2 linked regions of the Nothobranchius furzeri genome follow. The protein of the gene in region 1 purifies or fractionates together with the protein of each later gene. This does not show direct contact. Links are inferred from orthologs where the notes say so. Each region holds a gene or a part of one and is shown on either strand. Other genes may lie near its edges.

Region 1 (4,399 bases):
TGCATTGCGACGCTAACAACAGCGGCGACCTACGAGTGAAACTATTTTTTACAAATGTTATTAAAATGAAGACGTTAAGGTTTTTTACACCACTTTAATATAACTGACACTAACATTTATCTTTAAGAACCACAAGGTTTTGTAACCTGGGTTCCTTTTAACACCCCACTAACCTGGCTGTGCCTCGGAGCTGGGAATGTAAGACGAGGAGGGAACCATGCTGGGTGTGGCTGGAAGGTAGCTGGTCGAAGGCAGAGGATTCTCGTTCAGAGCTCCCAGTTTCTGAAGCACAAAACCGAAAAGAAAAGGTCATTTTTAAGGCAATAAGAAAATCTAACAGGGTGCAGGTGTAGGGTACCTGTGCAGAGACGAGGCCTGCGGCGTAGTCTGGTGTGGTGTTCTCCACCACCGCCTCTTCCTTGGCTGCTTTCTCCACAGCTTCTGTTTCTACACCCATGAGGTGAAATGTAAGATTGTTTCTATCGTGCTCAACACGTAAAAAATAGAGATTTGTAACTAGATTTACCCAAAGTCTTTCTTCTCCTTTTGGCTTCCCTTCCAGCTCCGACCATGTCCAACTCTGAAATATCTAAAAGCTAAAAAAAAAAAAAAAAGCTTGAATAAAAACCTGCTCAAATTAATTACACAGGCAGAATATTACAGGAAACAAACCTTGACTCCTCTCTCCTTCCGTAGAGGGGTTCGCGGGGGAGCGATGGGTGTGCGGTTACTGGGAGGGCTGAACATACTGGGTGCTGTGGGGCTGCGGAACGGGGCCTTGGGAATCCCTTTGAGAGGAGCTGGGATGCAGATGGAGACGCACAAATGAACAACATCACGACTTTAGGAAAACCACGGAGCTAAATCCTGCTGTAACTCACTTGTCGTGTCGATCTTTTTCACCAGTCCCCTCCCTTTGGCGTGAAAAGGCACCCCGGCTGTCTTTTTGAGTTGCTGGGCCGTCTCCGTCGCTGCGGAGGACGCGACATCAGACCACTCGTTTGATGAATATAATTTCCGTTTTAATTATATCAGCAGAATTTCAAAATCACTCACATTTCTGGAGCAGTTCCGCTCTCAGCGTCGCACTCTTGGGCTTCCTCTTGAGCTGGAAATGCTTGACAGGGGGTGTGAGGGGTCCCACTAGAGTGGTGAGGGCACTCTTGTTCAGGTACTGACACTCCAGAGGAAGCATGGCCGATGCCTCGCACTCACTCACTGAGGAGAAGAGGTCAAAAACAGGACCGTAATTCACTAAAGTCAATTCATTTTAATAACATTTTAATAACTAGAGAACAAATGCCCGGGACATTTAGAGACCCAAATCACACAAAACTCATTTTATTTCTAGATTTTAAATCCACCATTATATAGTTGTATCATATGGGGTTGCTATTCACACTTTTCAAAGAGAGGGTCAACATAAAAAAACAGTCCGACCTTTCTCCCGGAGTTCTCCGAGAATATCCTGCACGTTTGGATTCTGCTCCTCCAAGTCCAGGTTAAGAGAGCCAGTCTCTGGGAAGGACTTGAGGATGTCTGCAACCATCAGCACCCAGGGCTCTGAATCCACCGTAGCCAGCTGGATGATCTCTGACAGGGCCTCCTTCATCTGGGAAAAGACAACATTTGCAGCATTCCAATTAATTTACAACTGGCAGGATTTTATTTAGGAGAGTCCCATTATGCATTTATTGAATTTTCTCTTGGACAACACTGACATTGCAGCAGACTTGATGCATTCATATCTTAAAATGGAAAAACTAATTTTCACAACTTGACCGGAGGGGTGTTTTTTGACTAATAGAAGGGGGAAGCAAGGCCATGGCAAAATTAGGAGGGGGAAAGTGGGGTCCGAGGTTGCGGTCAGGATGGCATTGGCTCACACTGGACCCCTTGTAGAACCACCCCTGCTGCACACCAACACATGGGCAGTTTGTTGATGAATCATGCGAGATGTTCTAATTTCAGACCTTACCACTAGATGCCAGCAACAGGTCCAAAATACCCAAATAAAGTTGTAATTTCCTTGAGTCTAAGCAAATGTAGACATATTGAAATTAAATTAGCATTGATTTGCATACAAGTGCTATAAACAAAATACAGTGAAATAAATACTCAAATATAAAAATATATATGTTTACTACTGTGTTATGTACCGTGCAGTTGTTGGAAACTAAATAAAACATGAGGGCAGAACATTTAATAGTTCAAACTGGGGGATAATAGCTTTCAGTTAAGACACTATTGAGTTTATTACATTTTGCAGTAAGATCATGAGGCGCGCTGTAGTTTGGCAGCTGATATGTCGGATTGAGAATGTTGGCACCGCCCTCCAGCCCTGCTAACTGCTGCGTCCTTTCCCTCATCGACCACAATGTCCGTGAGGAAGCCGTCAGGCTAACGTTACTCGCGCTAGCTGGTTAACCTCTGGTGGAAAATGGACTAACAAGTTAGCCATAAATCGGTTCTTTGTTTATGTGAATTCCCCACAGAATCCAGGCTGAGGTACAAACTTGGGAGAAAATACTGCAGAAAGTATATCAGGTTAGCTCGAGGTGTTAGCCGTCGTCGGTCACAGTTTCACACAGGACTTTTACTGTTGGACGCTCCAAGTGCTTTAATGCAGCGCAACTTAAACTATGGGGTATGTGCATTTCTTTGTCGCGAAGGAAATTTGCGAGCGCCTCTAACCTGTCGGTGTACAGAAAAAAAATAGGTATAACGAACCCACCTCGTCCACCGTCCGCCTGGGAAGATGCAGCATCCCGAGCAGCAGTTTCAGCTTCACCGGCGGCGACAAGCTGGAAAAACACAACCGTATGTTGTCGATTACCGACACGGTGAGGAGAGAGGCTATGCTCGGAGGCGTCCACAGCTCGTCCGTGGATCCCAGTTTGTTGTGAAGCCACAGGCCGGTGTCGCTGTCCTTCATCGACGCCATCTTGGAAAAAGAAGTGTTTTGAGTTCGGGCATTTTAACAGGCTACCTAAGAAAACATCAGTTAGGACCCCGCCCACACGGGGGGGGGGGGGGGGGGGGAGCGTAGCTATAAACCAAACACAAGATTAACGTAAGACACGTTTAAACTGTTTGTACAAAAATAAGCAATTTTAACACCGCATCTATTTATAACACTGCAGAAGTAATAGCTTTTTTTTTTTTGCTGCGGTCTGGTTTCAAAATACTTTTGATCTTAAATTGTTTATTATAAGTTATCAGAAAGTCCAACGTTTTTTTTAAGTTTATTTTCATTTATTCACAAATAAAAACAAAACACAAAACAGGTTTGCAAAAATGAAAAAGGAACAGAAAGAAGCAAAACTTATGTTATCTGTTCCTTTAACCAAAATAAATGCAAATGACAACAAAGTTATTATAGCTAAAAAAAAATGTCTGGACATGTTACTGTTTTAACTTTGGCAAAAAATGGAGCGGAAACAAATACACACACACAAAAAATGTCTTAATGAAAGGAGAAAACAATGCAAATCAAAACACACAATAAAATAGCTATAAAAAATACAAAGTAGAACATACAATGTGTGTTTTCCTTTTCATTCTCTCCGCCTCATAAATACGTTTATCTCATAGCATCATATAAGCTAAGCAATTCATTTTTGATGAGTTTATTAAGGGTATATATTGTTTTGGTATTCTTGATTTTGTTACTTTTGAAATTGGTTATATGTAGTTTCCAAGATAAATCCTCATCAGGGATAAATCATGGCCTTAACTTTGGCTGTAGTAAATCTAAAATTGTAACATCTGAGAATAGATGTATTGCCTCTCTAGAAAAAAAATCAATTAAATGCAACATGATTTAACTAATTATGACATAAATGTGAGTAAGCAGTGTGTGGTTGTTTTGCTATATGTGCTCCAAAAAAGGTATCTTGCCTCTGGTGCAATGGGTTAGTGCATTCAACTGTTAACTGAAAGGTAGGTGGTTTGAGCCCACCCAGGGATGTGTCTTTTTCCTCGTGAAGAAGCAATAATCTTATGAATTTTTATACAAACACAACTTAAAGGGGCCATATCAAGGAAAGTCCACATTTTGGAGCTTTTTACCAAGAAATATTGTTATTTCCTCATAAGAAATATACCCAAACCTGTTTTGGGATGCATTCATGCATTTTCCTGTCTCAGCTGCTAATTTAGAGTTTTACTTTGAAAATCTTGAAACGCATCGATTGAAGCTACTTGCATAATCAGGCATTTCTCATCTCCCTGAATCTATTCTGATCTGAAACCTGCCTCCCCCCAAAGGTACCGAAGTCCGTAGGCGAAACCGCAGTACGACCAGACCGGTCTCGAGATGTCTCCAGGTCACCACAGTTGTTTGCGTCTTAGGAATAACTCTTAAGGAGTTGAAGTTGGTTCAGCTTTATTCTGAAGA
Region 2 (4,465 bases), on another chromosome or scaffold:
ATGAAAAGCCGATTTAAAGGTAAATTAGTGTGGTGGCACCTGGGGTGGCCAGTCAGATTCCAAGGTTGGCATGTGCCACCCCAGGCCACTCCCTGGACACGCCCCTGCCTCTCATCCACTCAAAGAGCTTCATTTAAAAAATTCTGATGAGAAACAGGAAGTGGTTTTCATTATTATGGCTATAATGATATGTTGATTTTTATTCACAGAGGAAAAGTCTGACCGGGAAATCTTAAAAGAACAAAAAATTAATTTCAGCCAAAAAAAAAAAACAGGTGACAGCAGCTCTGTGATTGGTTGTTTGAGTTGGCAAAATGATGACGTCCGGCTCACGAGGTGACCAACAGCTGGACCGAGTCCTCCAAAAGTGACGTTTGAAAAAGATTCCCGGCCTTCGGACCGGGAGGTGACCCAGTTCGCCCGGCTTGGCGCCTGTACGCATGCTCAACGGGCCTCATGGACCCCGGTCAGGTCTGATCCGAACCCGTCTGCGGCTCCATCAGCTCTCAGGTTTGTCTTTGTTGGGACCCATGAACTCCACTCCGTCGACGGGGATGTCCTTCTCTTTGATGGCCTTCTGCACACACAGCTGGTACTTCCGGAAGGTCTCCGTGCACGGGTCTCCGCTGCGGTCTCCTTTCAGGAACTTCTCCGCGAACCAGCGATTGAAGCACTGGTCATAATCCCGCTTAAGATCGGTGCAGGCCTCCCCAACGCTGTTCATCTCCAAGAAAACGAGTAAAAACACCTCTACGGGTCAAGAAACAGGACAGGAAGTCTGTCTGACTGCTGTCCAAGCGTCGACCGGATCAGCATGCGCACTGCGTAGCCCTCGATTAACGTGATTGGCTGAATGAAGAGGGACGCAGCATAGCGTAATGACGTTTTACTTGCCAAAGATATGTAGTAAGAGAGCTCACTCTGTCACAACTAATCCTATTTTTATTTTTATCATCACATCGTTAACTATATTTACTTTGTACGTCTCCTAAATTAAAATTTAAGCCTGTTTAGAATGTCAATTAGTTGAAAACGACAGAAAAATGTCTGAATTTTAGTCACCTGTCGTATTTATGACAGATATTTTTTATACATTTCCATGAATGGATGTGGCCAATCTGCTGATATTGTTTTAGCAAATTGTAAAAATAATGAACGTTTTCTATTTAGCTCACATTTAGTTATGCATTTTCACCTTATAGTTCTTCTATAGTGGAACTGTTTACAGGTGACCCGTTTACAGGAGGTTCAGAATGCCTGTGCTCAGCTTCTGACCAAACTGTCAAAGCACACCCACATCACCCCGCTTCTCCTCCAGCTTCACTGGCTGCCAGTCAACTTTCAAGATCCTGGTCCTGGTCATTAGGGCCTTACTTGGACTAGAACCATCATACATTGGTGATCTTCCCAGTCTCTCCACCCCCAGCAGACCCCTGCGGTCCAGTGATCTAAACCTACTTGTGCAGCGCACCGAGCTAAAGATTTGCATACACCTTAGGGTCAGTACAGTCAGGGGAAGATGGCGTCAGTTCGATCTCGTATGGGCAGTGTAGTGTTCACATGTAGCTGCGAAGGAATGCGGAAATCCCCAAGCCGACGGGCAGTGTTTAAGATGCATAGAAAGTCAGGTGACAGATCATTTGCTGCTGAGATCCCCAAGACTAAAGAACTCTCTCATCCTGAGTCTGAGCTCAGTGGACTCAGTGGTCTTCTTTAAAAGGAAGCTGAAAACTCACCTGTTTGGACTGGCTTGGCATGACATCCTGTTGATTCTTCATCTCTAGCTTCTCCTCATTCAACTCTCTACAAATTTTACCTTTCCCGGGATCCCAGGATCTTTCTCTTCATTATTCATTTTTGTTTCCCTTTCCTCATATTAGATAGATAGCTAGATAGATAGATAGATAGATAGATAGATAGATAGATAGATAGATAGATAGATAGATAGATAGATAGATAGATAGATAGATAGATAGATAGATAGATAGATAGATAGATAGATAGATAGATAGATAGATAATCTTTAATGACAGACTCTTAGGTCCAGATAAAATATATATAAAACAACAGATCAATGAAACAAAATAGATAAATAGAAATAAAAAGATAACAGCATAAAATTGAATAAAAATCTAAATGTAATTTAAAAACTTTACTATAAACTATATTGTTAATTACAGTATATTTTTTAAATTTCCAAATTGCATGAATGTTTTTAATCATTTTTTAATCTTCTTATTTTTGATCTTGTGAAGCGCCTCAGGATTTGATTTAGTGAGGCGCTAAATAAAAGACCTTCTTCTTCTTCTTCTTCTTCTTAACCCATCCTATATAGGTGAATAAAACAATGCAGAACAAAATAATGTTTGCTTCGGCAACAGACGGACTATATTTCTAAACTGAATGCCAGTTAAATGATTTGTGGAGAAAAGGAAAATATGTCAGAGTGAGACCTCTTTATCCCCACGAGCTACGTCCTGGCGAAAACACGCGAGAGGTAACACGTTGCTTCCCGAAATCTCGTAGCTCTCACGGAAAGCTTCAGGCGTCGCAGACAGAGATAAACTATTGTTTTCACTTATTTGTTGTTTAATGGAATAAAAATCAAAGCGGGAAATAAAACCAGGTAAGAAACAACTTTTAATGGCGTTTAATAAGATTTGATAGCTGTTGTTTTCTAGATACCGAGGCTGTTACATTTAAGCTAACGTGGTTAGCTTTGTTAGGCCATCTTGGTTGTTGTTCTGCGGAGCTCACAGTCTAGGTTTGAGTTTTAGTTTGTGCTGTTTGATGTGATTCATTCTGCTGACGTTTGTTTCTTCACAGTTACGACAAAATGTCTGACAGCGAGGACAGCGACTTTTCTGACAACCAGAGTGAGCGCAGCAGCGATGGAGAAGCTGAGGAGGTGGAGGAGAACGAGGTATGCTAACCTTTAATCCGGGCTCTGAGGCTTGCTCACTTCTTATGTCCCCATAAGGATTTTGGTTGAAAACTAATTTATATGAAACAAAAGCTGGGCGACAGAACATTAAAGTGTTTTACTGGGAGAAAAAATTGACTACAGGAACGAAAATTGAATATCCTTTGTGATTTAATTTGAGTGACTAGGGCACGTGTACCGTGTCTGACTTGTAGAAACAAACTTATTCAGTTATTGTTACGTTACCGTTTCTTTTAATACGTAAAAAGGAGTGAGATGATGAAACATGGATGTGTGACGTCTTTATGCTGAACGAGATGATTAAGTAACGTTTACTGTTGTTTTTTGTGATGCCCTCCACCAGGAGGAGGCTGCCAGCCCTGTGGGCAGTGACAAGGTAGCAGAGGAGGAGGGGGAGGACCTAGAGGATGAGGATGAGTATGATGAAGAGGAAGAGGAGGATGAAGACGACGACCGGCCGAGGAAGAAGCCGAGACATGGAGGGTTCATTCTGGATGAAGCCGGTGCGAGGAGACGTCTTCCCCTAAGCTTTACCTTGTGGCACCTGATGATGGGCGGAGCATTAACGCCCACCTGTTCCTTTTTGTTTGTTTGTAGATGTGGATGATGAAGATGAGGATGATGATCATTGGGAGGAGGGAGCAGAGGATATTCTGGAGAAAGGTGAGACTTCATGAGAGGGAGTGGAATTTTCTGGAAACTGAACCCGGTTAACTTCACTTGTGGAGCAGAGTGACTTGGTAAAAAGACCAGGTGAACATAGTTGTTTATAACACCACCAGTCTGTCCGATCTCAGCAGACATGATGCAGCAAAGCTTTTAGCTTTTGTTTTGGTGGGTTTTTGCTTCAGAGGTCCGTTCAAAAGTTCTAAACCTTTGTTATGAAACAGGTGAGTTCTGACGATAAGTGGTGATGCATGAAGTTTCGGTTAGCTACAAACTGTTAGCAGCTATATGACAGTGTTTCCTGTTTCTGAGGTGTAGCGAAGTTAGCAGAATCTGCATTTGCAGGTAAAAGCAAATCAAGAAGCAGGTTTGAGTTCAGGGGAGTTTGTTTTGCTGCCCTGGGCCTCTGAAGCATTTTGATCAGTGGGGGGTGGAGTTTCAGCTGCCTCTGTGCTCTGACTGATTTGTTTTCTGTCTCACGGCGTTCCCCGCTGTCCCGGTCTCCAGTTAACGGTAATTCTAAAGCCTCATCAACGCACATTCAGAGCAGGTCCCATCCCAGACTGCTAACCTCACCTCATTTCAGCTCAGCTGTGTGTGTGTGTGTGTGTGTGTGTGTGTGTGTGTGTGTGTGTGTGTGTGTGTGTGTGTGTGTGTGTGTGTGTGTGTGTGTGTGTGTGTGGCAACCTGCAAACATTCTGACACAAATCAGAGTATTTTACTAGTTGACTAGGTTGTGTCCTCCAAAGCACTTACCAGTACAATCCCTCATTATGGGCTCGACACGCGGGAGGCGACAAACGACCGCGATCAGCGAAATTTGTCGCCGTTGCATTTATTACCTGACACACGGGA

What was found.
Region 2: the proteins of nelfa (region 1) and supt5h purify together in Homo sapiens (affinity purification with mass spectrometry; 3 studies listed by BioGRID and IntAct, with this or other methods). This does not show direct contact. The link is inferred for Nothobranchius furzeri from reciprocal best matches to the Homo sapiens genes NELFA and SUPT5H.

Annotation. Positions count from the first base shown.
Region 1 is NC_091742.1:60,248,026-60,252,424, forward strand, and holds the start of nelfa (negative elongation factor A), read right to left. Parts: upstream 3,013-4,399; 5' UTR 2,945-3,012; coding exon 2,735-2,944; intron 1,613-2,734; coding exon 1,441-1,612; intron 1,219-1,440; coding exon 1,057-1,218; intron 972-1,056; coding exon 882-971; intron 801-881; coding exon 673-800; intron 597-672; coding exon 527-596; intron 448-526; coding exon 359-447; intron 283-358; coding exon 174-282; intron 1-173. UniProt on the Homo sapiens protein: Essential component of the NELF complex, a complex that negatively regulates the elongation of transcription by RNA polymerase II.
Region 2 is NC_091753.1:56,971,850-56,976,314, forward strand, and holds the start of supt5h (transcription elongation factor SPT5), read left to right. Parts: upstream 1-1,630; 5' UTR 1,631-2,626; intron 2,627-2,826; 5' UTR 2,827-2,836; coding exon 2,837-2,923; intron 2,924-3,287; coding exon 3,288-3,447; intron 3,448-3,541; coding exon 3,542-3,607; intron 3,608-4,465. Other genes in the region: triap1 (TP53-regulated inhibitor of apoptosis 1), read right to left, coding at 500-724. UniProt on the Homo sapiens protein: Component of the DRB sensitivity-inducing factor complex (DSIF complex), which regulates mRNA processing and transcription elongation by RNA polymerase II.